4 linked regions of the Cricetulus griseus genome follow. The protein of the gene in region 3 interacts with the protein of the main gene of each other region in a biochemical or structural test. Links are inferred from orthologs where the notes say so. Each region holds a gene or a part of one and is shown on either strand. Other genes may lie near its edges.

Region 1 (8,411 bases), about 37 Mb from region 3:
CCAAATGGACAGAAAATTCAACTAGGACAGTTTGAAGGGAGGAAGCTAGATAGACAAGCAAGTTAGGCAAAAGCAGTTAGAGGGAAATATAGGTAGGGAAGTAATGTTACTTTTGGATTCTGATTTTCTGGGACTTGGGACTTCATAGAATATTCAAATGGCATTAGTTCCTAACAAAAGGGTTAGGCTGACCAGTAACCATTTGATTGTGTTCATTTCTCATTCACAAAGAACAATTAAGAAATCAACCATGAATCACTAGCTTTTAAAAGATGTGGTTACATCCCGGATATCTTCATATGGCTGTCCTATCACAAAATTCCCAGGGACATTAATTTGGACTAATACCATAACTAGGGAGGGTATCTTCATAAAAACAGGCTGAATCTTTAATCCAAAGAAGACTGAGGGAAGACTGGGGTAGTGGGGTAAAAGTATAATTTTTATTCTACATCTAATATTCTAACACACTAATGTAAACGGTCTCATTTCAATTAAAAAAGAAATTCTTGTAGGACAGGCAAAAACTGAACAAAAGAAAGTGTATCATTAGGAAAAAATTTCTTTTAGTTACGATGCAACTAAATTTACAGATTTTTCAAAATTCTCATGAGTTTACTCATTAATAAATAATTTCAAGAGCTTAATAAGCACAGGCAAAAAATATAAAACAACAACAATAATAACAACAAAACCCTTTAAATTTTATGAGGCTTACCAGTTTGTATTTAGAAGGAACATAAATAATTAAATAATTTGCATATAATGCTTCACCTTGAATGTTCTAAACTAGAACACTACTCTAAAGCCAGTTTTCAAGTCAGCAAATAATTAAAAAGCCTTTTTTTAAAGCCATTTGACTATCAGTGTCTACCTGGCAACTGGACAAACCAGGTGTAAGATAAATAGGATAAAAAAAACTCCCTAAATAAATACTAAACAAACACTTGGAATGAAGGCTTTGAATTTTAAGACATCAGCACTCATTCTATTTCTTTACATTTACTAAACTAATCCTCTGTAGATAATGCAGACTCAAATTTAAAGTGACAGGAATTTATCTTCAAAAAATAGAACATGCCCTACACATTATAAGTTAATAAATAATTGTTACATGAACAAACTTCTGGATCCAAAATTTTAGAAACATTGAATTTGGATGCTCAAGTGGTATAGGAAGGCAGACTTTATAAATATGATGCACACAACTCGATTAATGGATGTCACCCAGTATTATATTTTTAATGTACAGTTTTAAATTAAATTATTTTATAGAGGAAATAAAAGAGATAAAAAAAATCATCTGGACCAAAGAGACTTTTGTGAGTCATTTACACATGTCACAAATGCCAAATGTTCAGTGTTCTAACTTCACTGGTGCTATATTTAAGGCTCAGTTAAAGAAATAAAACAAAACAAACAAACAAAAAAGGAACACAAAAATTAAGTATTTTCAATTTATATGACTATAATAATTGCTATTGCCTGACTGGCTATGTGCATAAAGGTTTTCAAGAAAGTCATCCGGTCAGGTGTGGCGGCCCCTCCTTTGTAATCTCAACACTCAGGAGGCTGAGGCAGAAGGACCACTTCAAGTTTGAAGAGCCTGGTCTATATAGTAAATTCCAGGCCAGCCAGAAACACATAGGGAGACCTTGTCTCAAATCAAGAAAGAATGTCACCTGATGAGTGAAGCATACTTTGTGAATCCTTCAATTGTTCTTTAAAGGAACTTTCTAAATTGTTCACTTTAATATTCCTTGATTTTACATCGTTACCACTACCAAGTAAAAGGCCAAGGGTTGACCTTAATTTGATAACATTTACTAAGATACACGGGAAAAGATGTAAGTGCTTTAAAGTGCACCGATGGTTGCCTGAGCTAAACAGTAAATCTGAGATTGAGATGACAAAACTTCACAACAGTATGCCTCTTTACATTGTATGACAGAGTACACAAACTGCAACTTAAAGATCCCTGATCTTTAGAAGAATTAAGAGGTAGAAAACTTTACCTGGAAGATTGTATAGTGAAGTTAAGTTTTGAGTGGGTGTGTCTTGAGGATTAATCCATCAAGCAAATGGCTACATATCTGATACTAGGTAGCAGGATTCTGAGAGAGCTGTATAAGGCAAGGATTTTAAAACTTTATATTTTAGAAGTGAAACAAACCCAATCAATTATTTAAAAACTGAAAGTCAAAGATCACAGGTAAACAAAGTACTAACTTGCAGATCAAAGTGGAGCTATGAACACTGTTATCTATGAAAAACACATTTACGAAATCAATTGACACCTTTGAGGAAGACTTGTTTGGAAGAAGTGCTTTCAGCAGGACAACTGAGGGAATGAAATCCCTCAAGACAGATTTAATGTAAAACAGCAAAAGAAAAACATCAAAACAAAACAAAACCACTCAAATTTGAAGATACTTTGAATTTTAAACTAAATTAGCAATTAAGAAGGCATACCCTGCTTCATTAAAAAAAATCTAATGTGACAAATACCAACACATGAATTGCATTAAAACATGAGGCCAACAGTCTTTTAAAGCTTCAGTAAGCTGCTTCAGGCACCTTTCCCCCTTATACATTCTACTTTATACACTAGAAAATCTCCAACAGGACCCCATTCCTGTTTTGGATAACATTCTCAAGGAATACACACATCCCTGTAAAATTGCTTTTTATGCATTTAGAAGTTGTTAGATACACTTATAAAGTCTACCAAATTGCAATATAAAAAGTTTTGACAATTCTGAGTATCTTCATCTGATGAATCAATTCAGAATTTAGAAACTACTAACTCATTCAAAGTTATTAAAAGGAATCAACTACTGGAGACACCGAAGTATATGTCCAGTGAACCTCTGCAAGGCTTTCCTCATTACCTAAAATATGATGTTTTCTTCTGTAAGTTAAAGAGCCGATGGGTGCTGGTTTATAATAGAATCCAGTCTTCAGGTTAGCATCAGAAGTGACCCAAGCCACCTATTCCGTCACCCTAGTAGAAAGAGGGCATGCCACTAGCGTAGACACACACCTGTAAACTTGCACACTAATTTTAATCTTAACAAGGAATTTCAGGGTCAGTCATACTGGTTTAAGTTAAAAGGATGGTCCAAGCATTGTGTTCTTCTATTCTGTAGGGTTATGAATAGCTTATTGGGAAACCCAGAGCCTTCTGGATCTGTGAGGTAGTAGGCTCCAACTCTTACGAACAGATCACACCTCTCCAAAGTTGGTGTGGCCTGTCTCCTTGGCATGTTCCCTTGCTTCCGCTTGTCCAGTTAACCCCTTCTGACACACCATGCATCTTAGGGTGAAGCGGTTTACATCAGTAAACTGTCTCTTTCTTTTAGCTTCTTCCGCTAACTCCAGTGCTTGTACAAGAACAATATCATCATTTGAGGAGAAAATGGTCAGAGGAGGAGTATCTGGATCAGAGAAGTTCCGCTGAAGAGGATCATAGTGGATACCGTCGTAGATGAGCAGAACCCTTTTGGTATATCCTGCATCTTCCCCAAAACGGTCAATTCTAACTGTCTGGGTATCTACCACACATATTTCACATTGATAGAATTTAGACAAAATTGATATCTCAATTGCTCCTCCCCAAGTATCATCCCTTTTGATCCATTCACAGTACTCTTCATTTGTTTTCCCCAGTATTGCCTCACTATAGAAGTCTGGGTCACTTGCTACAATCTGTGCTATGAGACGTCTCATGTCAGGGGCACAGGCTGGATTCAAGACTCCTCCTTCAACGACATAGTACACACTGGTAAAGAGGCAGGAGTTGTCTGCCGGGACTGCGGTTCTGGTAAGCACAGGCAAAGTTTCCCTGACATAACTAGGAGCACCATATTTTGAAAATGCAGGTGAAGCTTTTGGTCTGGTTTGGTCTTCTTCAACAATCAGCATGTCACCTGTTAAAAATAAAAGAAATCCAGAACTGCAGAGAAATTATAGACTGGGTGTTTATTAGCCAACTCCGTAGGTAAATTATGAGCCACATGAGTTAAAACAGGGTTACCAAGGAGAACTCGACTTTGTAAACAAGAGACCAGAAACACTTGTTTGTTTTTTAGTTCACGGTGTCTTCAGAAAGGAAAAGAGGAAAAAAAAAAAAATGCTTCAAGTTGCATCTCAACCTGGGAGACAAAAACCCTTATGTGAAAAGATAAGTTGAAAAACAAGCTGGGCAGTGGTGGCTCAGGCCTTTTAATTACCAGCGCTTGGGAGGTAAAGGCAGGTGGATCTCTTTTGGGTTCGTGGCTGAGTTCCAGGACAGGCTCCAAAGCTAACAGAGAAACCCTGTCTCAAAAAACAAAAACAAAAACACCCAAACAACAACAACAAAAACCCCTCCTGTGTTCTGCATTTTAAACCACGAATCTTTCAGATGTTAACCACAGACTAGGTAGGTCACCGTGGTATTTTCCTGGCACTTTGCACGACTATACATACCATTTGATGTGCAGAGGGGCCTTGCCACAGAATGGAAAGCCTTTTTTTTTTTTTTTTTTTTTTTTAATGATCAACACTGATATTCAAGTTTTAATACCGGGAACAAAACTGTACAGTAAATACAGTACAAGTAAGCGTACACGAAACAAAACTATAAAAACAAATTAACCGGAGAGAGAGAGAAAAAAAAAACCCAAAACACACCAATTGGTTAAAATCGGTTATCACAACTGCTGGCCTGCTGGTGATGGGGACAGAGAGAAATAGGGGTCCTGCTGTCCTTTGGGAAAGCAGAGGAGACAAAACGAATGGGGCGGTCTCGCGGAAGCCGGCTCAGGGAAGCGCGAAGTTCAAGGCTCCGGGCTCTCCTCCCTCCCAGGCAGCGAAGAGACTTGACACTTGCCCTGCCTTCCCGGACGGACGGACGGACGGACGGACGGAGCTGGGCTCCGCCAGGCCCCCGGCTGGCCCACCGGCACCTTGTGACCCTTCCCCGGTCCCGGCCGGTGCCCGTACCTGACTGGATGGGCAGGTCCCCGAGAGTGACGTCCCGGTCGCGGAGGTCCAGGCACTCGGGCGGGTAGCCGACGAGGATTCGCTGACTGCCCGGGGCGATCCCGGTGATCGCGGCGATTTGGCCCTGAAGTTCCCGTAAGCGGGTCCGGCTGGACAGTCCCTGCAAAACGTGAGTGCCACCCTTGGCCTTGCAGCGGAGCCGCCACATGGTGTCGGCCGGCCGGCCACCTGCGGGGCCAGCTTTGGTCCCTGCCGCAGCCTGGGAGGAGACGACGCCGCCGCCGCCGCCGCCTCCGCCGCCGCCGCCGCGGAGCAACCAGCAGGGGGGACTCCAAAATGGCCGCCTTTGGCGCCGCCAAACATCGCGAGAAGTAGCCGCTGTGGCGCTTCTCGCGTCACCTCGCTTAGGGACCGGCGTCGGTCCTCGGCGGAGCGCGGACGGTTAAAGTGCTAAGGGCGGCCGGCTGTCCCCGGGCGCTGCGGTGGGGCGCCCTGGGCGTCCGCGGCATTTATGCTGCGGGGAGGAGGGCGGGGAGGGAGTTCCCGAGTCTAGCAGAGCGGGGTGTCACCTTGCAGGGAGGTCGGGGATGATGAAAGCCGCCCTGGAGACACCAGGAAAAGCAGACTCATGGCTGACAAGGAAAACAAAGGTCACAGGACCTGCCGGACACTCAGGGGCGGCTGACGAGGCCCGAACTGATTCACCGGGGCTCACGGGACGGCACGACCGCACTCCTGGGTGAGACGAACCTGAAAGCGTCCATCTGCCACCTCAGAAAGACTGTGTGAGGTCAGCAGCCGTGCCCGGGGGCGGCGATGGCCTCACCCGGGGGCGGCGGCGGCGGTGGCGGCGGCATCAAGGAGGACGCACGCCTGTCACCGCACCCCCGGGGCCGCCCCGGGCGTCCAAAGCGGAAGACGCTTCGTTCCCGCACGGGGAGGGGGGACCACACGTCCTCATGCGGCTCAGAGACAGGGGACGGGGAGGAAGGTCATGCCGGACACACGGGCGGGTTTCCAGCCGTGTGTGCCGAGAGCCCGGCACGGCCTTGCCCATTAAAAAAGAAGAAAAAAAAAAAGTGCAGTAAACGCCAAATAATGACAGGGTTTGTAGCACGCGCGAGTAACGCACTAGGGCCGTGAAACGCATACTTGGACTGGCTGGAAGACGACCCCATTCCCAGGTAAAGAGGACACGAGTAAAGCCGCCCTGGTTCCTTCACGTTTCATACTTAACGTTGAAGCAGCAAGTTGCCTCCTCCCTCCCTCCCTCCCTCCCTCCCTCCCCGCCCGCTCGCCCACCGGGGACCGTCAAGTGCCAACGGCGTGCTGAGCTGACGGGGTAACCTCGGAAAGAAGTACTTCTGGAACGTGTAAAAAACAAAAAACAAAACAAAACAAAACGCCCGGACACAGCCTCTCCCTAAGCCTCTCCAACTGCAGTAGGCGGATCTCTGGGAGTTCGAGGCCAGCCTGGTCTCCAGAGCGAGTGCCAGGACAGGCTCCAAAGCTACACAGAGAAACCCTGTCTCGAAAAACAAACAAAAAGACAAAAAAAAAAAAAAAAAGAACCCACTGCAGCAGCAAATGTTATCCCTCTCCACCCCCCACACCAGGAGCAGGTGCAGTTTTCCTCCCTGGCTCTTCCAGATGACCACGGGTGACACAGTCTGGGTCGCGGCAGTGGGAGGACACGAGGGGGCGTGGCTTGGAGCCACCTGGGGCCAGGGAAGCTCGGGTTTGGAGCCTGGTTGGCTTAGGTTAGCAGTCAGCTCTCGCACCCTGGTAGCCAGCCGGGCATCTCTCAATTAAAAGCACATGTCTACCTCCCCGAGACTTGGGGAGTAACCTGAGCCTAGCTGGGGTTCAGGCGTGAAGGCGTTAATCTTCGCTCTTTCCCCAGTCAACTCCCACGCAGGATGTCAGTCAAATAGGTCTCGCGAGAGTAAGGGAAAAAAAAAAAAAAAAAAAAAAAAGGTAAGGCTTTTTAATTAACCCCGCCTTCAGCTCGATTTGTTCCTAAGCAACGACGCCACCAAGCTCCACTTGAGTCGTCGGGTCTGGGAGCCCGCAGCCCTAGGCGATCACAGATCCTCCCCGAGGCAGCCCAGCCTCCCCAGGAGCCCGCCTCCGGCCCTGCAGGTGCTCCATTGGTCCAGCCTGCCTCCAGGTGAGGGCTGATGCGCTGGTGGGCGGAGCCAGCGGGCCACGTGATCGGGGAGGGAGGGGGGGTCCGGGGCTTCAGTCTGTCGGCAAGGTCTGGTTCTCGGCGCTCCGGTGGCGGTGGCGACACCAGATCCACAGCCCCGAGGACGAATAGGGCAGGTCGAATAGGGTGAGCGATGGTTGAGCAGGATGCGAGGACGCGAGGATGGGGTGCTGCGCGGGCGCGGCTAAGGTGCTTAGCCCTTCGGGAAGTGTAGCTCCCCTGGCGCTCCTGGGGAGCTGAGCCGCAGCTGTTAGGACTGAAGGATTTGTGCTGTCAGGCGAGGAGCCGTGCAAGGGTTTTTTGTTTGCTTTTTTAATACGACCTTTTGTCTTGAGCTCCTTGGTATCTATCTGGGTTTGAGAAGTGAGACTCGGTCCCTCCTACCCTGTAGTTGGTATTAGGACCCAAGGCTTACTTTGTATGTAAATCATTTTCTTCCGCTGAGCCCCAGAGGGTGGAAAGGAGAGGGCAGGGAGGACGACTTGAGAATGGAGAACAGAGGAGGAGAGTGTAACACGCTAGGGATATCGCAGTCCCGTTACAATTCTTCCTTCAGAGAACATGTTTCTGCCCCTGGCCTCTCCAGCGTTCCCCTTCTCATTCTTCTTTTTTCCCGCTTCAAGACTGAGTCTTACCTTTGGATTGAGATTGCTTTCTTGACAATGCACTTCGCTTTTCCCCACCTCCACCTCACCTCTGATTGCCACCTCCGTTCTCTCCGTATTCTTAAAACTAGAATGTGAGGTCTAGAGAATTGGACAAACACTTTAGTCGGTTATCTTTGATTTGTCAGTTCTATAAAACAAACTGAAGTAATCATGATGGGAAAATCTGCTTTATTGAAAGATTACTGGAAGGCTTCCTGGATTTGAGATACATGAATGTGAACAAGGTCAACAAATAAATTCTAAGTTGGAGTGCAGCTCTATAGGTGAGGAGTCGGGTTTGTGAATTATCCAAGAACAAGTGCGCTTGAATTGGAGGAAGAGGCAGGATCTGAATCTTGGTAGGGACTCCTTGCTTGTATCACAATAATCTCTATTGTTTTTAGGGACACCTTCCTTCCCTTCCTTGTATTTCCCCTATCTCTTTTCCCAGGTGCCTCCTGAAGAACTACCATGTCTGGGAATTCATCTTCCACAGAACACAGAAGCAGCAGCAGCAGCAACTGTAAACCTCATACCTCAAACCTGCGGAAGGCAGGGAAGAAATGCTG
Region 2 (7,845 bases), on a different chromosome or scaffold from region 3:
TATTCTTAGTGGGACTTGTGGGCTGAACACCAGTCTCTGTGTGTTGAGGAGGAAGGAGTTTCTTCTCAGGCATGAGATTTGCCAATGGGAAACATAACCGACCGAGGCAGAGGGCCGGCAATGGGCAGGTGCCAAGTGGCTGGGCAGCCTGCCGGAGGTGACAGCACCACTCACGGTCCCCATTCCCCCCCTGCCAGGTGACAGCAGGCCAGACAAGCCAGATGAGACCAGAGCTTCAGGACTGGCCCCTGAATCAAAGTTGGAAAACACTGAAAGCAGAAAGGGAAAATAGAAGAAAACAAAATGCACTGACTTAGCCAGGACCTCCCCTAATTCTGCCCTCCCCCCCCACCCCGAGGAAAGAAAGCCCAGTCAACAGCTTGAGTGATGTTTTCCTTGGGGCCACGTCCCTGCATCTATGGGAAATGCCCCGAGATGAGCGGGGCGCAGTCACACTGGCTTGGCTCCCTTTCCTCCTCCGGCAGGGGGAGCACTCACCGAAGGTGGGACTGTATCTCCACCTCCCGTCGAAGCTGGTGTTCTACCCCAGCCTTCTCCAGCTGCGTTTTAAACAGCACCTTCAGGGCCAGAATGAACTTGCTTTGCTTCTCCCTTGCCAAATAGACATTTCCAAACTTTCCTTTACCCAGTGGGCGGCCAATGTCAAAGTCTTCCAGAGTCCACTGCCTCCTAAAAAGTAATGTGAACATTTAAAATACGAAAAAACCTCTACCATTTGCCAATGAGCAGTCAACCTGCCAACCTGTTCATGCTCAACTACATCCAGTCCATACAGTTAATAAGCACTAACCGGAACCACCAGAATGAGCCACAAACCTTAAAGGCTAACTTCCCAGCCCAAAGTAGCCCTCACTCCAGAATACAGACAACCCTCACCACCACAGGACAGCAACAGTACAGACAGCACACCCTTGCAGGACCTCCCTGCACAACCCCAGAGAAGCCAACAGGCTGTGGGGCAGAGTCACTCTGGTGTGAGATACAGAGCCACTGTCATAGGTGAACCAGGACAGACCCAACAGGCCATTCCAAACGGCCTCGCAAACTGTGTAGAAGTTCACTGAGTTGTCTAGTCTTCCAGTCGGTGCTGCATATTAACGTGTGGTGTTTTTCTATTTACTACCTTTTTAAATGATAAAGTTTTAATAAAATTTTCTATGAAAAGCATAATTAAAGAACTAAAAATTAAAGAACTTTGGGTCCCCTGGTAAATTTGCTTTAATGGGGATGGTGGCCTGCAGCCAGATGGTACTCCGGGAGATGAGGAAGAAAGCTTACTTTTTTGAGTCTTCTGTTTTCTGCTTTGATGCCCGATCGTTTTCAGAATTATTTCCTATATGAAATAAGTTAAAATACTGTTTTTAGAGCAACTATATAGTTCTTAGAGAAAAAAGAAGTCTGTGAACAGAGATAAGTCAAAGGATAGTCCCATAGCGGGGCATGGTGGTGTACACCTTCAATCCCAGCACGCAGGAGGCAGAGGCTGGATTGGATCTCTGTGAGTTTATCAAGCATGATAAACCTGAGCCTTTCATTTTCTTCCCTGGGGAGACTACTAAATCAGAAACCACAGCCCGTAACCTGACTCCTGCCACATGGGGTCTCATAATTCCTAAGGTAAATATGAGCAGGCCCCCCTTCCCCTCCAACAAGACCAGGACTGTCCATCCTTGCTGGAGCCTTTGCCCAGAAAGAGCTTCCAGAGAGAAACCAGCAGCAGCATCTCCATCCTCAAGCTGCCACCGACAGCCACCTTCTCCACCTGCAGTGGGGGCAGCCGACCTAAGTCCAAACTAATGTCTCCTCAGGATTCATTCTCGACTCATGTCATGTCTTCCCCTCACCACTGTGGGGCTGAGGACCATGACTCCACAATGTGACCGGAGACCAGAAGAAGCTACCCAAAATACACCTTAACCTCTTCTGTCCTGCCAATCAGGAGCTGCAGGCCCAGAAGACCCCTAAAGACACAGGTGCACTTCTAAGGGACAGACAGCAAGGGGACAAAGTGGGCGGGCTAAAAGGCTGCATCCGCTCCTCTGTCCTTCCCAGCTGGTAGCTGCCTCTCTCTCTCCATTGGAGGACCCAGGCCCCTCTCCATTGCTGGAGCTCAGGATCCTACATAAGCTTCAGCCATCTGACCCTGCCGCAGTCACCCTTCGGGGGACCAGTATATATGTACACAATTTAAGTGGGTTTCCTCCAGACTGCCTGCCTGCCATTGGCTTACTTTACAAACTCCTCTATCCCCTTATATGGACCCAGCTCAAGTTTTCTCTCTTCCCACACTGTTACAGCTGCCACACATCCTCCAAGTCTTACCTCCCAATCATCTTGAATCTGCTTCCTAAATGAGGCAGCAAATTCACCCACACCTCTCAAGACAAGTTAGCTGCTGCGTGTTAGCCCCTTCTGTAGATGTGTACCAATAACTGGCTGTCTACGTGAAACGGCTGTAAGGGTTGTGGGGATGCAGATCTAGGCTATATCTCTGATCTTGCAAGCAAGCACTCTTGAGCTGCTAATTAATCATCAACATTAACCCTGCTCCAGTCACTGCCGTCTGAGTTCAGCCTTGCTCTCAGACACACCAGCAGCAGCAGCAGCAGCAGCAGCAGCAGCCTCTGCCTTACAGGCAACAATTCCTTCTGCTCCAAAGAACATCCAGTAGCTTCCCCTTGGCAGGGCCGGCAATTACATCTATAATCATCCCATCTTCTCTTCATCTTCAGCAGACACGGTATAGAAGCTAGGGCATCAAAGGATAAACACCAATCTACCCACTTGCTTTTTGAGCAACAGCTAAAAGAATGACGATCCAAGGCAGTGAAAAGACTGGCTTACCAGAGTCCGCAGGTGATGCCTGCTCACTCTTCTGGGGGTCACTAAGCTGGGATACTGGCCGAGGAACGCTGACAGCTGGCAACTGCTTTGGCACTGGCTTCTGACCTGAGACAGCTTTCTGTGCTTGTGAAGGGACACGGTGGGAGGAGTTGGAAGGACATAGGACACGCTGGGCCTGGCCACTGCTAGCAGGAATCTGCTCTGTCACCAACACTCGTTTTGGACCAAAGGGACCTGTGGTCTGAGACAGAGAGAAAGCAGGCATTATGACTGATGGTACCCTGAGAACTCAACCAAGTTTCTTTTGTAAATCTAACAAAACTCATAAACATGGTGGATAATAAATGGAAATGGGGGCCGGAGAGATGACGGAGCAGTTAAGACCACTGGCTGCCCTTTCAGAGGGCCTGGGTTCGGTTCTCAGAACCTACACGGTGGCTCAAAATCTGTAGTTCCAGATCCAGGGGTTCTGATGCCCTCGTCTGGCCTCCTCAAGTGTCAGACACACACATGGTACACAGATATACATGTAAGCAAGCATTCATTCACATAAAATAAACAAATCTTTTTTAAAATAAAGTTAAAAGGAGGGGGAGATGAAGCTATTTTAAAGTGTGTGTGGCAAAAGTGAGGACACCTCCCACCCTCGCCCCAAATCCTGCTCTATTAACCATTCGAGAACTAGGCCTCTGCAAGGTTACGATGCCAGGGATGCTGTAATGCCCACACCTGTAATCCCAGTCCTTGGCAGGCTGAGGCAGGAGAAGCACTGAGCCCTAGACCAGCCTCAGTGAGCCCATCTGTCAGCAGCAGACTCAACTGTTATCAAAACCTTGTTAGGATTTTGTTTAGGAAAAAGACTGAAGGAAACCCATGACTGTACCCAGTACCATCATCCGCAAGCAATTCTGCAAAGCAGTCTAAACTTATGGTTATGCAAGTTTTCTATAAGATGATTAATGGCATTACTGTTCAATTCCCTGATTTCACTTCAAGAGTACTTAACCAACAGGACCTCACTACATAGTCCTGACCAGCCTGGAACTCACTGTACAAAACAGATCAGACTCTGTGTCAGGCCGCCTGCCTCTGCCTCCCAAACACTGAAACTAAAGGAGTGCAGTGCCCTCCATGCCCTACCCAACAGAAATAGTTTTTAAGAATGTAATCTCCACCCAGGGTTTGGAGGCCCTGGAAGTACACACCTTTAATCCCAGCACTTGGGAAGCAGAGGCAGGTAGATTCCTGTGAGCTCAAGGCCAGCCTGGTCTACAGAGTGAGTTCCAGGACAGCCAGTGCTACACAGAGAAACCCTGTGATGGGGGGATGGAGGAATGTAATCTCCAAAACTAAAATGCATAAGAAATTATTAAGAAGTTGAGTTTTCAATAGGAAAAAAAGGGGAACTCTGACACAGAAGAAACAAATGTAGGTTCCTGGAAGAATCATTATTACTGCACTGCACTGTAAGTAGGACTTGCTTCTGTTTAAAAAGAGGCTCAGGATTCACCACCCACTGAGACGGCAGGAGGCTGCAAGTGCAAAGCCATCTCCTGCAGAAATGGAGGCCACCGCACAAGAGGGCTCCAGGCAGGGTCAGGAAAGGGAACACCAGAACAACTTTCACAGGAACTGTCCCTATGGCTCAGTGGATGAGGGCTCTTGCAGCCAAGCCTGACAACCTGGGTTAGAGTCCCAACCCACATGGTAAAAAGAACACACTCTGGCATGGGTGTTAGTATTTAGGTACCAGTACTGGCCTGCCCTTGGGGTTCTGACAGGACTCGCCCTCAGCTGCAGCCACTGAGAGCACCACGTGTGCACACTCACTATGTTCCCTTTTAAGAGGCCCCACCCCCTCCCATCCCCCTCTCTCCCCCTCTTCCCTCCCCCCTCTTCTCTCCTGCTGCTCCTGTCTCCAAAGGCCGGTCTCCGGTCTCCCCCCACCTCCCCCACCTCTTCCCCCCCCTTTCTCCTTTTTATGATCCCTTCCCCCTAATAAAAAACCCTCTGATTCAACCTTGTCTCATGACATCCATTTTGAGTCTGCACTGCTTTTCTTAAATTACAACATTGGTTCCCTAACCAGGAAATGCTCTCCTGGCATCTCCTCCTGCCCGAAGGCAGTTTGAGGCATGCCAGCACCCTAGAACCCGGTTCACAAACGACAACCTCACTTCCATCCAAAATCATCCTGATTGGTGAGCCACTCCACCTTCCCCACCTTGGCTATTCCCACAAGTGAGGACTCCTCTGTCTTATGAAAGGTATCTTGCCTTTTGGCCTGGTTAAATCCTGATACAACTGGGCTCTGAGTCCTTGGCCCCACCCTTTGTGTGATGACCCACTGGGTGGCTTATGCCAGTCTTAGACCCTCTGTTACTTTAGCCCCTGCCCCTTGACAGACAAAATCACCAAATCGGCTTGTGCCTTTCTCACTTGATAAGCCATTGGATCACTGGGTCGTGGTGGTGCACGCCTTTAATCCCAGCACTCGGGAGGCAGAGGCAGGAGAACCTCTGTGAGTTCAAGAGCAGCCTGGTCTACAAGAGCTAGTTCCAGGACAACCTCCAAAGCCACAGAGATCCCGTGTCTCAAACCCCAGCGCCCCAAAAAGCCACGGGATCTTGTTCTGTCTCACTCATGTGGAATACGCCTGCCAAAACCGCTTCCCAGCACTCTGTAATCACTTCATGCTGGGACCCTACCCAACTGCTTCTCCTTCACTCTCTCCCACCTGCAACAAATCTGACGGCTTTGTCTTCCATCCATACCAACAATGGGTCTCTGGTGGGGTTATCCACTTCTGACCATTCCCAGAGATGTGAGACATTTCTCCAGCACAGTTCTTTCCTCGCCTTCTGGCTTTTCCCGGAGTCTGGGTACCAGACGACTGTATCTCTCAGGCTCAGAATCCTTGGCCCCCACCCTTTGAGTGACAGCCTGTGCCAGTCTCGAAACTGGCCCTCTCTGAATTCCTGGGATGCTAGGAATTGCAGACCCTTGGGTCTTACTCTCTGCCTCACTCATGGGAGCTGTGTCACCATCTATGCCTCCTTGCTCCTATTGAGATGTTTTTGGAGACCCACGGACCATTCCTAATCGGCTACTGTTGCAGTACTACCAGGTGTTGGCCGTAGAGCTGGAGGCACAAGACTACCAAACATGCCCAGTGATGCTGTGGTGACGGGAAAGGACCAGGCGCTTTACGCCCTAGGGTGTTGATTTGGATTCACCAAGAACGGCATTTTGCCAGGTTCAGGAGGCACCTTGATGGTTCCACAGAGCCTGGACAGTGAAGTGAAACAGCCAGCTACTCCAGGACATGGCTAGCACCCCAGCTTTCCTAGGTCCCCCAAAGATGAACGATGCCCCCCAGGTCAGCAGGAAGTAGTCTTGAAAACACAATGGTCTCATCCCCACCTCACCTGCTACCCCTTTCTAATGACTCATCTTTTTATAATAAGAGGGAGGAATATTAGTATTTAGGCATCTATCCTTGGCCTGTTCTGACAGGATACGCCCTCAGCTGCTGTCAGCTCCCACCCTTCTTTCTTTCTTTCCCTCCCTCTCTCTCTGCTGGTGCTCCTGTCTCCCCCTCCCCTATTTATGATCTCTTTCCCTAATAAAAAGCCCTTCTCTGCTTGAACCCTGTCTCATGCCATCTTTCTTGAAGGCTGCTTTTCTTAAATTACAACAATGGGTGCACACAAACAAAATGCATTTCATTTCAAAACAACTTTTCAAAATTCAATTGTGATTACAGGTAATTCTTTTTACCTTAACAGGCCTGGAAACACAGTTTTCTTTACATCTGTCCATGTCACCTGAAGAGAGAAACAAGAGCCTTTCATTGACAGGAAGCCACGTACTGCTGTGCTCCGCAGTCACTGCCTCTGACAGACAGGCCTCTGTGACCTGCAACCTCACACTTCCCACTGACAATCCTGCACCCAGCTCCTCACATCCTCTCATTCTCTTCCCTCCTGGGCTTGTTCTTTCTGCTCTAAAACATGATGCCCAGCATATACAGCCTGCTTGGGTTACCCATTTGCTGCACAGCTACCCCAGGCCATGGTCCCATCTCCCATAACCCTTGAACAACAAAGCTCACCTACTCTTTTCCCAAGCCATTCCCATTGGGCCTTTTGAATCCCACGGTATTGCCAGTCTCTCAGCTTCCCCTACGGTGGCAAACCCAGCACTAACTTGATTCCTGGGGAACAGGTTTCAGCCAATCACATTTGCCCATTTCCCAGTTTATCTATTACCTTGCAAGCTGTCACTTCCTACCCTCCTGGCTTGGCCTCATTTTTTCCCCTAATCCCAGTCCTTCGCCTTCTCATCTACATCAGATGACCTTCACAGATCCCATTCAGCCAAGATTTACAACTCCATGTAAGAAAAGTTCTCCTGACACAGCAGGAATCAGCCTTGGGCTTCCCTTTTCAGATACGGGTTGCAGTCAGGACAAACACCTGCTTGCAGTCAGGACAAACACCTGCGTGTTATTGAAAAGCCCCTACTGCAAAGATGGGGGAGGCTAGGCAGGAGATGGAGGCATTAAGTGAAGGACTGGGGCTGTACCCACCTCACCTGTAGGAAGCCTGTAGGAAACGGAGCCCTGGGACCAGATGCCAGCTTGGCTAAATGACCTGCATTTTAGCTTTCCCATGATTAGCTATACCAGGATCCTATCCCTAAGATATTTCTATTTCCTACATTTGCAGTGGAGCCAGGATTTTGTTTGTTTGGTTTGAGATGGGGTACCTCTGTGTAGCCCTCCTAGGTAGTCTGGAACTCAGAAGTCCTTCTACCTGCTCCCAAGTGATGGGATTAAAGGAATTTGGGACCATATCAGTCTTGTATTTGTTTTTGAGACAGTGTTTCATGTAGCCCAGGCTGGCTTTGAACATGCTATAATGGAGGATCACTTTGAACTTCTGATCTTCCTGCCTCCACTTCCCCAATGGGAATTAC
Region 3 (7,053 bases):
GAGTGAGATCTTTCAGAGGCGAGGACTTAGCCACGAGATAGGGGGAACCAGAGAAAATGAATGATATAGAGGCCCTAAGGCAGTCTCTCCTGGTGGTGTGCAGATAAGATCCACGCCCACACTATCTCCCCAGCTCAAACCCTCCGGGGGCCAGAACCCTGCAGCACACGGTTTCCCCAGGCTCAGCCGGTGAGCAGGTTCAAGTCGGCTAATCCCGCCCCTAACTCTTAAGGTCCCTGCGACTCACTCTCCGTCTACTCCATTCTGGCGGCCCGCAGCTGCGCTTCGCTTAACTGCTTCAGGATTGGTGGGTCTTGGGAAGCAGGTTCTGGATTGGTGAGTTCTGGATACATCCACCAATGAAAAACACCGAATTAGCAGTGACGTTGCCAGCCAAGCCGCAGCCACTTACCGAGTCAGCTCGGTGGAACAGGTTAACCGGTTCATTGCCTAGGCTGACTTAGTTGTGATAACCGGTACTGCCTTCCCCAGGGGCCAAGACAGAGAAAAGCCGAATCCCGGAGTTAGCATTCCCCAGCTCAAGCTTCCTAGGCCCGTGGTGAGAACCCTGGAGGGCCCCATGAGCCTTGGCTGGAGAGAGACACTTGGAGGCCCGTCCGTGGGGAAGTAGCGCCATAAACAGCTCTTTGATGTTAGCAACAGCCAGGCCCTACGGGAGCTAGGGCCACCCGGCAACGAAACCAGTGTTTGTCAACAGGGGTTCTTGGGTGCCTTGCTCTCGAGGGGCAGTTCCCCTCTCCGCCAAACCCGGCGTGCCAATGCCTGCACTCTAGCTTTAGGCTTCTCCGAGGCTTCACAAGTCTCAAGGCCTGTCTTCTTAGTATACCACTAAACTGTTAAGGCACAAGTGTGAGTGAGGCCTACTCAATCCCTGTTCTTTTCCTTCTGCTCTGAGAGCGCCCCCGCCTGTTCAGAGACGGAACTGGGTCCAAGAAAGATCCAATTGAACCAAAGTCTGGAAGGATATCCATTCCCTCTTACCCGCAAATACAAACGTGAACACCGTTTTCTTAATAAATTTATTCACAAAAAAAGTGAGATTGCAGAGGTTCTGGGGGCTGTACATGGTCAAGGGCCTGGTGAGCTCTGTACAAGGGACAGGAAACAAGGTGGAAGGGTGCTTCTTAATAAAAAAAATAATGGGAGCTACAACCAACCCCCCCTCCCCGATTAAAAAGACACAAAAATAGACGTCTCTGAGGTAAATGGGGAGCCTGGGGGCTTGAGGGTGTTGAAAAGGTTTTCACAGGTGCCAGGGCTTCAAGGTGGTGTCACAGGCACCGAGGTGGCTCCTGCATCAGTTGGTAGAACAGCACGTAGCCCTCACTGGATGCCACCTGATTTTCACTGACAGGGGAGACACTACAAAGAAGGGAAATGGGGGATGGCTGTAGTCATTTCTGTGTATTTCCCTCCTTCCTACAAGAATCAACCTCAGAGAACCCAGGTTGAGCTCGGGAGAGAGACTCCACCTGTCCTTTGTCAGGATCTCATCTTTTGGGGCCTCATAGGAGCTGCAGTGGGATGGGGCAGGGGTTGAATAAGAGGCTGTTCTCACCGGGAGTCGTTGTAGACATGCCAACCAGTCTGGCACCGGCACAGGGCTGTGTAGTGTCCATAGTGGACACTACCCGAGTGGTTGCAGAGGGCATACAGCTGGTAGACAGGGCTTCCTGTGGGTTAGACAAGATCAGTTGCTACAATCAAGAGTTGTGTCCCTCTCCTGGAGGTTCCTTAGGACATTTCCCCCAGCGGACTCACCGGCTTTGTCACTGGCAAAGTCCCCTAGGCTCAGTCGCTGCAATGGGAAGTCAACACCTACTGAACTTTTCTTGATGGAGCCTCGGGAGGTGGAAAATCGATTCAGATCTGAGCCCTGGTTAAGGAGCATTTGGGAGGCTGAAGGTCTGGAAGGGAGCTGAGGTAAGAAGTTCAGTACCCTCCATTCCCCCAACGTGTCCTGGAAGATGGCAAAGAGAGTTGGGGTAGCAGGTTTTTCCCAAGGAAAACTCAGTGAAGGTGAGGAAACAGAATGTATGGGAGATATCCTAAGAGAAATAAGAACTGGAAGATTAGGATATGGAGCACGAGGATTCGGGGGAATCTTTGTACTGTCAGCTTTTTGGTACTTCGTGTTTTCTGCCGGCATCGGTCACACACCTAAATAAACAGCAAACAATCTTAGGTCAATGTGCTCTCACCTCGGCTGGTTTTTCTGACACCCCAATACCCATATAAATTTAGTATGCTTCTCATTGCTTTGCCCTGCCCCCTTTAGCCCAGGCATACTACGACATACCTGAGATGCTAACACACACCCAGACATGTAACTGCTATTCCCATGCTAAGGAAGCATGCATCTCCTTTTATTCAGACAGACCCCCAAGTCTCCCACCATTATAAACCCCTACATACTGGGGCATTTTCTGACTCCAGCTCTTCTTCCTTGGTGAAAAGGCTGAAACAATCCCGCAGAGACACTTTGCCCCCAGCAAATCCTTTCTGGGGGGAGGGGGAAGTAAGGGTCAGCATCTTCTGAATCCCCCCCTTTAAAATCTTTTATCTTTTCATAATCCAGGCTTCAATTCTGCTTCAGAGACCCACATAGTTCCCCCATACACGTAGGGGTGGGTCACAAAACCCATGTTCCATCCACCCCTGGAATCCTCTGGAATCCCACCTTGGGGATGGGCAGGGACAGGTCACAAAAAACCTCGAAGGTCGTGGAGCGATACCCACAGGCCTGGCACTTGAGGCAGCTTTTCAACTGGCCCACAAATAGGTCTAGACAGAAACAAAAAGGCAGGAGGAAAAGTCACCGTTGGATGCCTGAGGTGCTCTCTCAGAATCCTGTCTCTTCCCACTCCTTTGCTGCCACCCAACTCTCCACACCATCCCATATCCTCATCATCCAGCTTTGTTCCCCTTCCTCCTTCTCCCAAGCCCGAATCCCCACTGCTCTGCCCCGTTCCATACCCACAATCTTGCTGTCTTCTCGCTCCAGGTAACGCTTCCACATTAAGTTGGCTCGATCGTCATCACTACCACAGATCAAGGGAAGGGAGAGGGTACCGTGAGACAGCTGTGATACTGGGTAGCCCCACCCCAACCATTGAGATTATCCACAGGGCCCTGATCCCGACCCACATACCAGCTCCTTCCCTAGATTTCTAGTCAAAGGAGTAATATTTTTCCAAGAACCTTCTGGGGAAATCCAAGATGAGAGGAAAAAGAATATGCACGAGGGGAGAGTGCCATCCGTCCTCTACAAGCACCACTGGTGTGTTTCATTGTAAAAGGTCCCTCCTTTCCCAGTTTAGTGGCATTCCTAACACTGTTTTATCCCTCTATCTTCATCCTTCAGCCTCACCCCCTTCCTTTCATCATTTCTTATACTTTCAAACTATTCCCCCTCCTTTGTTAAAGGGTCTCCCCCAGGCCCTACATTTTCAGTTTCAGTTAGCTCAGTTCTTTGAAGACTGAATGCTACTGGTAGAACCACAGGGGAGAGAGAGGAGCAAGGGGGAGCAACCCTTACCTCAATTCAGGTTCTTCATGCAGAGCCCCTCCTCGGCGAGGTGGAGAGGGAACCGGGCCACTGGCCAGGATTGGTGGTGCCCGGCGGCCTCGTCGGTTGATTTCAAGGTGTAACCTTTCCATGAGTAGCTTCAGAAACTCTTGGGCATCCTGCTGGCTACAGCCAGACAGAATATGGGTAACTGATCCCCTCTTAGTCCACAGACAGTATTCCCTGCCCAAATATGGGTCCCTACTTCCTCAGTGTAGAAAATGTCAAGGCTCAGAATCATGGTGCTGTAGCCACTGCTTGGCCCCAGCCCCCGATTTGGGCAGAAAGAAATTCTATCCTCTCAGTTTCCCCACCTGTATCCAGAGAAGGAGGGGACGTATTTCTGGAAGACAGCCCGGAACCGAGTAGGATTCACAGCTTCACAGGAGTCAGGGTGCCAGAGGGCACCAATCACATCCGCAAAGGCTGTTGGTGTGACAGTGACACAAGGATTAATGTCCAGAAGAGCAGGCAAGAGGAGATTCCGGGGATAGAAAGCCTCTAGGAATGGAGGAACTGGAGAAACAGCTGTTAACTGTCAGATTGGAGGGGTGGGGATCATAGGTACTGGGGGACAGAATTGAAGGAAGGGGGTGGGGGAAGAGAACAGAAGAAGGGACAGGAATTGGTGCCCACCTTCCGTGAGCTCCTGGGCTCGGCCTCCTCCAGGCACCTCTTGCCGGAAGTCCCTTCGAAGACAAAAGTCTCGGAGAGGCCTAGTGCTGCTCAAACACTGTAGCACGGCGTTGAGGAAACACTGGGGAAGCAGTAGGGACGCTGCCATTACCTTTCAAGGCTGGTGCCCAACAAGCCTCGAGGGGGCCTCAGGGCTCTCCTTCTACATGCCTTCCCCAAATCCGCAGGTTGTCTCCACCCCCCAACACCATTTCACATTCCTTCTACAGAGAAAGGACAGGAAGATGGCTCTTACTGTATTTCCCAGATTTCGGAGGCCAACATGACCAGAGCCCAGGAGCAGTGTGTGACGAGCCTGGAAGGTCAGAGTACAGTCATATTCGACTGGCACTTTCAATAACATGTTGATGGATGTCTCCCCAACCCCCTGCTCACGCCCCAGCTCGAGCCTCTGTCCCTCACTGGTCTTCCTACCTCATTGGTCATGAGCAGTAAACCCATCACAGCTGAGTGTACCACAGACTCAGCCATGGCTGTCACACCTATTCCCCATTTACTCCGCTGGCCGGCCAGCCGGCGATGCAGCTCCTGAGGCAACTCCTCAAGCACTGGCATGGTTGCCCAGCTGCTCCCCACCCCCACTTTACTGCCCCCAAATCCCCCTCCTGCCCCCGTGGCCCCTTCTTGCACCCTCTCCTGCTGGCTCCAACTGCAAGCAGCTTAGCTCACTTAGCTGAGGAAATGTGTAACCATATCAGCAGGTGCTCTAGCTCCGCCCCTCCTCAGCCCAGGGATTAATTAGGTCTAGGCCCAGTCCTAGGAGAGAAGTTGCCTTAAAAGGGCGGGCCTAAGGACCCAAAGAAGAATTCTAAATAGTTAGGTTAATTCCCTAGGGACCAGAAATGTGGCACACCAAATTGGAGAATCACATACAACCCAAGATAATATCTAGAAGGCCTCGGAGAGAAGAGTCCACTGGTGCAATGAGGGGTTGACAAAGGGACTCGGAGCAGGGAACAAGAAAGCCATACATATGGCGGCAAGAGGAACATGAGCATGGGAGACCAACACGTGCCGGAAAGTCCTCACCATCTTGTCATCAGAGTAGAATGGCTCAGAGGGCCGGGCAGGTAACACGTGGTAGGAGCCATGGGAAGCAGGGGGCTCGGTCCGTATGCTGAGCAGGGTAGGGGGGCCAGGGAAGCCCCCAAGACGCCGGAGAGAAGTGCTGCGTCTCAAAGTGGGTGGCTCAGGTCGGAGTGCCAAGCGGCTCAGTGCGGCCCCTAGCTCGCCAGTGCCACGGTGCCCTCCCAAGGCAATCCCCATTGGACGCAAGTCCCCGCTGCTCACAGACTTGGAACGGGCTAAGTTGGTCCGGGATGGGAGAGGCAGAGCCACAGTTGGGGGTGGTGAGCCAGGCAAGGGGACCCCATGATCTGCTCGAAGGGGGCCTCTAGGACGAGAGCCTGAGGTCCGACCCCGACCCAGCTCCACTTTCTTGAGCCTTTCATCCGGGGGACCTGGCCTGGGAGGCAAAGGTCGTAACACGGAGTTTGGCCCAGGAACTGGGTTTCGGCGCTCCTTGCTGCGGGCCCGGGGAGGAAATGGTATCTTGGCTCCCACTCGGGGCTGTACATTGACAGGTGGCTCTCGAGTTCGGCCCAAGCGGTGCTCAGAAGCCTGGGGCATTGTGGACACCGCAGGCTGGACCTGGGAACAGAGGGTCAGTCAGCATTTGAATTAGTAAGGGAGATAAGACATAGGCTACCATGCAAGCTGGCTTCTACATGTACTGAGGGCATGAATCACGTCTATAAAATCAGTTCTCGCATCCCCAGAACTTAGCAATGTTTGACACAAGGAAAATACTTAGTATTCCTTTAATAAATGAATGACTGAATAGTAGCCCATCATTTTGGCCTTTCACGCCCCACCCCCTCTCTATAGACTACAGATTTACTGAAAAGCACTGGCAGTCCCAGACTCAGCTGTTTTCATAATTTACAAACTCCTAAAAATCCTCCTATCTGGCTAGTCAAGTGTGATATGCCTCAGACCTGGGACCGTGGATGCAGGAATCGGCATTCCAACCTCAAGCCCTGCCCTTATGGGTTGCAAACGAAGCCGATTAAATGGGTGGTTTGCAATCCACTCCCTCCTCCAGTTCTGGGCCCCCATTTGCTATGTGGGCTCAGGGAGCAATGGTTTGGGATGGAGGACGAACTACTTGACCCCTAAATTCTGCACCTCTCCCACCACCACGGCGAGGTTTTACCCGGGTCCGCCCCCCTCGAGGGCAGAAAGGCCGAGGCCGCTGATTGGCTACAGTGTCCGGCGGCATAGTCCCCGCGGTCCGAGAATGCTGCTCTTCCAGCCTACTTCCCCCAGGCCCCGCTGGGCACCGCGAGCCTCTCCCTTTGTGGTGACCGTCCTCCGGGGTCTGCATCCGTTCTCCCTCAGCTCCCCCACCCCACCCCACCCCACCCCGCCTTAAGGTCCCGGCCCATACCTGTGCCCCGGGGAGGTGGCGGGGGAGGCCAGCCGGGGTCCAGCTCCAGCTCAGGGCCACCCCCTCCTAACCCCGAACAGCCTCCCCGCGGGCCGGGCTGCAGCTTTAGCGGCAGCTGTAGCCCAGCTTGCTCCCGCCGCAAGGGCCACCGCCATCTTTGTTGGTGCGGCCCGGCCACCGGCCACCGGCTTCACAGTCCCCTAAGGCGCCTGCGCGCCCACACTCGGAATCCTCCCACCCACCTCCTCGGCGCTTGCGTGAGCCCGCCCCCACGGCTCCCCGACCGACACCATGGAAACGCAGCCAACTTTAGAACCAC
Region 4 (7,453 bases), on a different chromosome or scaffold from region 3:
AGTTTTCACACCTCCCCCACCCCAGCCACACCCAGGAGCAGCGGGGAGGAAGTCGGGAAAATCCTGCAGGGACTTGGCAAAGTGCCTTGGCAGTGAGAGGAGGGGGGCCCAGCCAGGGGATCCCATGAACACACGCTACTCAGAAAGTCACCATCCTTCCCATAGGAGCAAGAACGATCCTATTTCTAGTGAAGTGGTTTGAGGAGCTAGGAGAACCAGCAACGGGTATTCTGAGGTTACCCACTATACCTATTCCAAGGTGCTTTCAAATCCAGCTTTAGTTGAAGCAGAGTCGACTCTTCTACTGTATGGTAGAGGAGACCCAGTTCTTCCAGGAGAACTGAGCACCTGCCCTTGCTCTCTGTGCACGGAAGACTCAGCCATAGTTCTCTGCCTATCTCTCTGCTCTTGCTTCACCGAAACCCAATCACTGCAGCACCTTACGAAGGCTCCCTGTACTTGTGGATTAGACTAGGCACCCTTCCTCTCCGCGGACCACCCCTTCTCGCCCTGGTAGAGGGCCTCACCACAGTCCGAGTTCGTCCCCAATTCACACCTCCCCAAACCCTATTCCTTTCCTTTGACGAGAGTGTACACTTGTTTTCAACAAGAGGGGCTTTGGACAAGGTTGGGGGCAGCCACCACTGCAACTAGGGCCTGGGCACCACGAGAACAACCACAGCGGCCCGGCAGTAACTTTCGCCCGGAGCTGCAGAGTTTTCCGGGACCTGGTGCCCCACCCGCAGGCTTGGCGGTCGCCAAGGGAGCTCGAGCTGGAGCTACAGAAGCGTTCCGGTCTCGTTCCCACGGCTTGGGGCCGGGGTCCCAGCAGGGCGGCCAGCACGCGAAGGGCGGGCCTCGGGGCTGGGAACCACGGGGGAATAGGGCCCCCGGCTGGGATTCCAGAGGGCTGGGGTCTCGTGGGGTTTTGCCGGGGCCCACCTTGCACGAGTACGTGTGCTGCACCGGGTCCACGTTGAGAATCTCCTCCACCGTACCGGTGAGCACCACATTCGCCTCCTCCTCGCGCCGCTCCAGGGCGCGCTCCGGGCACGTCCCGCTGGCGCCGGGCAGAGTGCGCTCGGCCACCACCAAGAGCAGCAGCAGTGGTAGCAGAGGGGCCGGGCAACATAGCCGCAGGCTGGCCATGGCGCAGCCTAGAACGGCGGAAGGCAGCCGGGAGAGCGCGCGGGATGGACCGTTCAGGGGGCAGGACAGAACTGGACCGCAGCTAGGCGGAGGAGGTGGGAGGGCGGACGGCGTGGGGGCGGGCCAGGGGCGGGAACTGAGCAGCACCGCCCCTCCCCCTGGGAGCTCGGCCCGCCTCCGCTCCCTACGACCAGCGCGGGCAGCGAACAAAGCCCGGAGACTGCGGCGCCGAGCTGAGGCGGGGGCCTCAGCTGGGTGGGTGGCAGGCCGCCTTGGGGGAGGGGAAGGTGGGGCGCCAGGCGCCCTTCCCCCGTCCGCCCAAACTGTCCTCCCACCAGGAAATGCAGCTGAAATCAGGTTAATGTATAATCTAGGGACGACGTGCCGGGACTTCCAAGGGACTCGCCGGGAGCGGCAGGGTTCTCTGGATAGGAGAGGCTACCGGAGCTGGACCTCTCTTTCCCCTTGTTTCGGCCCCACAGCAGGATTGCTCAGAGCTCCCGCGGCCTTAGGGCCCCGCCATAGGCTCTAAGGTGGACTAGAGGGACTACGCCCCCTGCCGGTGGCCGGTCTGCGGTGACTGGCCTGAATTGCGCTCAGACCCGCCTACCAGCCCTCTAGCTTGGTAGGACGGTGGGATGCTTCTTATCGACCTATGGCTACCTTCTCTTGTCTTGCTGCGGAACCTACCACAGCTCCTCCTCCTTCCCCTCCCCCTCTGTGGACCGGCGCTTATCCAGCTTCGCCTGGCTAGGTACAGGGTACAAACTGAGGCCCAGGAGAGCTAAGCTAGCTCCGGATCTACAGAAGGTTGAAAGAAAAACAGAAGACAGCTCTGTCTTCACAATACTGGGATTGCTGTGCCTGGGCCACAGGCCTTTGAACCAGAAGCTAGAATAAAGTGTGTGTGGCAGAAGCGTTTCCTCCTGAAAAAGGTACTACCACCAGGACCCTGACAGGCTTCAGGGAAGGGGGTGGTCAGTGAAGGTTTGGTATCACGTCTATACAGTGGACACCAACACCCTAGATCTGGAGTCACCTGACCCAGGTATGCACAAACACACCAACCAAAAGTGGGGGCTTCTGAGTCTCCACTCAAATTCTCTTTAAAAGTCTGAAGGTTGAGCCGGTCGGTAGTTGCCCACGTCTTTAATCCCAGCACTCAGGAGGCAGAGGCAGGTGGATCTACTGAGTGAGTTCCAGGACAGCCTCCAAAGCTACACAGAGTAAGTAACCTTGTCTCAAAAAACCAAAAACAAATAAATTAAAGTCTGAAGGTTGAAATGTTATGGTCCCCCAGGACCATAAAGGTACTTGTCCTGACTTGCTTGTGCCTTAGGCTGCCTCAAAGCATGAGTAAGTAACTAGAGTAGGAAAAGACAAGAGAAAGGAATATCAGGCAGGAAGGGGATGAAGGCTTTCCAATTGGGTGCCTCCTATCTGAGATAGGATTTCCTTTGTGGACAAGTGAGGCCCCGAATCCAGGTGCCCCCTTACATGCCAGTAATGGCCCTCTTTATAGCCCTGATGAGGTGTACTTGCTAAACACCCATGTCCTAAATAGCAACTGGTTGATGTGAGTAGGGAGGCCCTGCCCTACCCTTCTGTGGACTAGTGCTGGTGGGACTAGAAACACCCACAGAAAAATACAGCACCCTCCTTCACAACCCACCCAGGCAGGTCCGAGAACATTCCTTCACTATTTCCAAAGGATCTGGGGAGCAACTGGTCCCATTAGGAGCCTCATCCTATTACTTACAGACCTACCCCGACCTGTCCCTAAGCCAGATACAGAGATCAGGACTAGTTGTTGAGGGGCTGGATGAGTCTCAGAACTGGGTCCCAGAAAAAGTGTCTTTCTCTAGATGTGAACTACCCAAAGGGTTTGGAAGGGGAATTCTCTGACTAGGCTCTAACTGTGAAATCCTTGTCCCTTAGCTTGGCAACATAAGGCCTTGTCACAATGGATGGACTTGGGTTCTTTCACCTGACCTCAGCAGGAATGTAGAAGAGAAGGCAACTGATGGACATTTTTGAAGGACAAGCACAGGAGGCAGAACTTCTCATTGGATCACCTTTTATTACCAACATAGGCTATGGATAGAGGCCTCAGGCATAGCATACCCTCCTTACCCCCCCACCCCGAAGGCGCAAATTCATGAACACTATGCACTGGGGCTTTAGGTCATACTCCCCCAGTGGCTGTTGGTCCTCCATGGGCCTTCCCTCAAAGCTCAGCCAGAATTGGTCCTCCTGTATGTGCTCCTTCTGGGACACCTGCCTCTTAAGCTCTGCTACGGTCTGTGTCAGCCGGACCTCATAGATACTGCTTCGGCCCCGATCATTCCGAACCAGGATGCTCAAAGGGTTGTTGCAATTCTGTACAATCAACATGACAATGCTGTCAGGGCCCAGGCCCTGGCTGATGAGGGCAATGTTCTCTTGTAGCATGTTGCCACTTTCATGGGCCAAGCGTTGCTGGAAAGCTGGAACACCAGTCTTGTGGAAAATCTGCCTCTTCAGTCCCGATAACGTCATGGAGTTAGTCAGGGGCACCAGGAACTCGTCACCCCCCAGCATCTTCACCTTCAGGTTCCAGGTCTGCAGGCATCACATGGGTTTAGCAATGATTCTCAACCTTCCTAATGCTGCTACTCTTTAATACAGTTCCTCATGTTGTGGTGACCCCCAACCATAAAATTATTTTCATTGCTACTTCATAATTAATTTTGCTACTGTTATGAATCATAATTTAAATATCTGATATACAGGATATTCTATATGCAACCCTTGTGAAAGGGTCATTTGACCCCAATGGGGTCTTCACCCACAGGTTGAGAACCACTTTAAAGGTTTAAAGACTCCTCTGGCACCAGTACTGGTAGTTACTACATCTGAAGCACTGGTCACAGGACCAGTTCCCATACCCACCCCCATCCTCTCCTCCATCAGAGGGGACCATCCAGGTATGGGGATGATACAGAGGAGTCAGTTCTAAAGGACCAAACTCCTACAACCATCACATTTCAGTTTACCCACCAAGATATCCTTCTGGGTCCAGCCCTAAGGGATCTAGGGCTGGTAGCTGAGCAGACAAGGAACCTAAATCCCTCCCTCATAGTGATCTTTGAGCAACTATATTCTGTTTCCACACTGTGACTATTCTACCTCTTGAAGACCCTCTCAAGGAATGGAGGAAAGCCAACTAGAATGGAAACCATCTGCTCCTGCCCCAAATAGGACTCACCATGGCTGTAGGCTTTATCACTAGGTCCCCTGCAGGAACTGAGGAGTTTGCTTGTTGAGGCTTCTGGCTGCTCTCTCTCTCACATCCAGAGACAGATGTGTGAGAGGGCAGCTCTTTTAAGTGTATGAGCTGTGGGTGTCAAGGGGCGGAGTCAGAGCAGCCTTCTGTTTCGGTTTCATTTTCCCAAGGCATACCTTAAATGAATGGGAAAACCAAAACCAAAGCCAAAGGAAAAGAAACTGTAGCTGAGAAGAAAAGGGACTGGCTCTCCAGGGTCAAGATCACAACTGAGACCTGTGTACTATGAAACCCCCTAAATATCCAGCATTTCAGATCCTTTATAAGGCATGTAAAAGTCATAATAGGAACTAATAATAGGAAACTTATTTTTCATTTATCAGCTTGAAAATTAGTTATCTTGGAAAAATGCCACAATAATTAATTCAGAAACTGCACAAAGTAGTGACAATCAAAACTGCCCAAAGACAACAACTATTGGTTATTTGTTTAGGACAATAATTATTAGAATGTACTGGGGGGGGTTATAGGAAGCATTTTGTTGTTGTTTTCAGACTTCTCTGTGTTGCCCTGGGTGTCCTAGAACTTGCTCTGTAGACCAGACTGGCCTCAAATTCACAGAGATCTGCCCACTGAGTGCTGGGATTAAAGGCATGCACTTCGGCCACCACCACCATCTGGCCAGTAGGAAGTATTTCTATCCTAGGACAATTTATTAAGACCTTATTGTTTACATGAAGAGGTAATAATTGAGTCAGATGGTTTTTGAGCTAGTCCTTCTATGCAGTCCGTGCTGACTTCAAACTCACTATGAAACTGGCCTTAAACTGATCCTCCTTTCTTTCCTGTCCAAATCCTGAGATTACAGTTACACATGTTCTATGCCAATTTCTGCAGTGATGGGGAACCCAGAGCTTCATGCATGCTAAGTAAGTACTCTAACTACTGAGTTATATACTTACTCCTCAGATTTTTTCCTAAGGTTTATTTTTAATTATGTAGATTGGATATGGGGTGTGGGTTCAGATGTGCATATGTGAGTACAGATGCCCTTAGAGTCTAGAAGAAGGAATCGGATATATAAATTTTGTTTATGTATTTATGTTGCATGTATGTATGCATATGTGTGCTTGTACATGTGGAGGTCAACATTAATGTTGAGTGTCTTCTTCAATTACTTTCCACATAGCCATCTTCCCAGCCCAATAGCAAACATTTTTAAAGGAGTAGGATCTTATTTTTCTTTCCAATGACTATATGAATGAAGACAGCCCATTTCACAAGTTAACCTTAACCATCAGTATGGCAACCAGAGATGGGATGGAGTTCCTGAGGCCTCTTCCTTCTATGTCCCCTGCTTGTCTGGTTTTCTTTCTTTTCCTTCCTTCCTTCCTTCCTTCCTTCCTTCCTTCCTTCCTTTCTTTCTTTCTTTTTGCTTTGTTTTTCTGGACAGAGTTTCTCTGTGTAACAGCCCTGATGGATCTGGAATTGGCCTTCAACTCACAGAAATCTGTCTGCCTCTGCCTCCCAAGTGCTGGGATCAAAGGCATGTGCCGCCACCACCGGGTTTCTTGTTTGGTTTCTGCAGTCTTCAGAGAGCAGGGGGATTCCACATAGACTCCTTCCTCGGGCTCAGCATAATGCCACATCTGAGAACATAACAGCCCAGCCTTGCTGTCAACCCCAAGGCATGGGTGTGTGTGTGGGGGGCACGTTGGACTTCTGCTCTCCACTTATCTCCAGTCTTAGAAGGAGTGGCTTTTGAGGTATAGTTCAGCACTGGGATCATAAAGGAGCTTCCTAGAGCTGAGAAGCAGAATTCTTTTAGGTATAAACTAGGACCAGACTAGAACTGGCCTCAGAGAAAGAGAGACCACTTCTGGGAAGGTACCTAGATATGGTCCTTTTCAGGGATTCTGGAACAGGCATTCATTAGTGGCCACCTTCCAGCCATCAACCTCACACACTAGGCGGATGAAGACTTTTTCCAGAACCAGCTGGCTTACTCTGTTATCTAGAAAAGCTCCTCAGAGTTCCCCAGACCCTTTCTGGGGTCAGAAGCCTCTGTCCTACAGTCCCTAGAGTATCCCTTCCCTTCTTCACTGAGTTCCCTTTCTAGAATACCCTGGGAGTGTCATTCCCTCTACTTGGCCTCTTAAAAGCTTCCTTCTCTCTGAAGAACCAATTGTGAAGAAGTGGCATTTTCTCTAACCCAACAAACTAGTCACTTACTTTCTGTGGCTTACTAAGACAGATTTGAAACAGAATTAGGACATTTAGCCTCCACTGTGGTCTCAGGGAACCACCATTGAGTTAATACAGAGTGCCAGTGCTAGTCTGTGATTGTAATGTCTGTATGCCCTGCAGTGTAACTCAGAATGAAAACAATAGCAACCATGAAATAATAATGGCCCTTTTTTCTTTTTTTTAATTTTTAAAATATTTATTTATTATGTATACAGTTTGCTGCCTGCATTTGTCCTTGCAGGCCAAAAGAGGGCAACAGATCTCATTATAGTTGGTTGTGAGTTACTATGTGGTTGCTGGGAATTGAACTCAGGACCTGTAGAAGAGCAGTTAGATGAGCCATCTCTTCAGCCCACGGCCCTGTTGTTCTCCTTTGAAAAACACAGATTTTAAATTTGCCATATTTTGGGGGTGGGTGTTTTGAGATAGGATCTTACCATGTAGCTCTGATTGTCTGGAAACTTATTAACTTACTGTGTAGATCAGGCTGGCCTCAGACTCACAGAGATCTCCTTACCACTGTCTCCTTCATACTGGGATTAAAGGCATGTGCAACTACACCCTCCTTGCCTTTTTTTCCCCCCTGAACCTAGTTAGCAGTGGGCTAATGCAGAATATTATCATTAGCTCTGTGACATCATCCCATCTAGTTTGTATCACCACTGACATCTTTATCCTTACATTGCATGAAATTGTCCTTCCACTTGCCCTGCAGTATCAGCTGATACCACCTATCAGATAGCTGACAGGAACCATCTGACCTCCCTCTAGTTTCAGTGGCCGGTGTTAGTT

The links.
Region 1: the proteins of Usp21 (region 3) and Yod1 form a complex in vitro, tested with the Homo sapiens proteins (2 studies listed by BioGRID, with this or other methods). The link is inferred for Cricetulus griseus from reciprocal best matches to the Homo sapiens genes USP21 and YOD1.
Region 2: the proteins of Usp21 (region 3) and Aurka form a complex in vitro, tested with the Homo sapiens proteins (2 studies listed by BioGRID, with this or other methods). The link is inferred for Cricetulus griseus from reciprocal best matches to the Homo sapiens genes USP21 and AURKA.
Region 4: the proteins of Usp21 (region 3) and Isg15 form a complex in vitro, tested with the Homo sapiens proteins (2 studies listed by BioGRID, with this or other methods). The link is inferred for Cricetulus griseus from reciprocal best matches to the Homo sapiens genes USP21 and ISG15.

What each region holds. Positions count from the first base shown.
Region 1 is NC_048598.1:58,325,246-58,333,656, forward strand, and holds the start of Yod1 (ubiquitin thioesterase OTU1), read right to left. Parts: upstream 5,456-8,411; 5' UTR 5,350-5,455; coding exon 5,289-5,349; intron 5,254-5,288; coding exon 4,987-5,253; intron 3,930-4,986; coding exon 3,226-3,929; 3' UTR 1-3,225. Other genes in the region: Pfkfb2 (6-phosphofructo-2-kinase/fructose-2,6-bisphosphatase 2), read left to right, coding at 8,314-8,410. UniProt on the Homo sapiens protein: Hydrolase that can remove conjugated ubiquitin from proteins and participates in endoplasmic reticulum-associated degradation (ERAD) for misfolded lumenal proteins.
Region 2 is NC_048599.1:6,973,203-6,981,047, reverse strand, and holds part of Aurka (aurora kinase A), read right to left. Parts: intron 6,693-7,845; 5' UTR 6,688-6,692; coding exon 6,646-6,687; intron 3,107-6,645; coding exon 2,866-3,106; intron 1,355-2,865; coding exon 1,300-1,354; intron 691-1,299; coding exon 499-690; intron 1-498. UniProt on the Homo sapiens protein: Mitotic serine/threonine kinase that contributes to the regulation of cell cycle progression.
Region 3 is NC_048598.1:21,589,026-21,596,078, reverse strand, and holds Usp21 (ubiquitin carboxyl-terminal hydrolase 21), read right to left. Parts: upstream 6,941-7,053; 5' UTR 6,735-6,940; intron 5,936-6,734; 5' UTR 5,915-5,935; coding exon 5,315-5,914; intron 4,581-5,314; coding exon 4,521-4,580; intron 4,347-4,520; coding exon 4,226-4,346; intron 4,016-4,225; coding exon 3,904-4,015; intron 3,716-3,903; coding exon 3,560-3,715; intron 3,063-3,559; coding exon 2,998-3,062; intron 2,806-2,997; coding exon 2,702-2,805; intron 2,524-2,701; coding exon 2,437-2,523; intron 2,182-2,436; coding exon 2,103-2,181; intron 1,891-2,102; coding exon 1,783-1,890; intron 1,695-1,782; coding exon 1,580-1,694; intron 1,384-1,579; coding exon 1,293-1,383; 3' UTR 1,022-1,292; downstream 1-1,021. UniProt on the Homo sapiens protein: Deubiquitinates histone H2A, a specific tag for epigenetic transcriptional repression, thereby acting as a coactivator.
Region 4 is NC_048595.1:119,890-127,342, reverse strand, and holds Isg15 (ubiquitin-like protein ISG15), read right to left. Parts: upstream 4,554-7,453; 5' UTR 4,400-4,553; coding exon 4,397-4,399; intron 3,873-4,396; exon of another isoform or gene 3,751-3,872; coding exon 3,259-3,750; 3' UTR 3,210-3,258; downstream 1-3,209. Other genes in the region: Agrn (agrin), read right to left, coding at 943-1,149.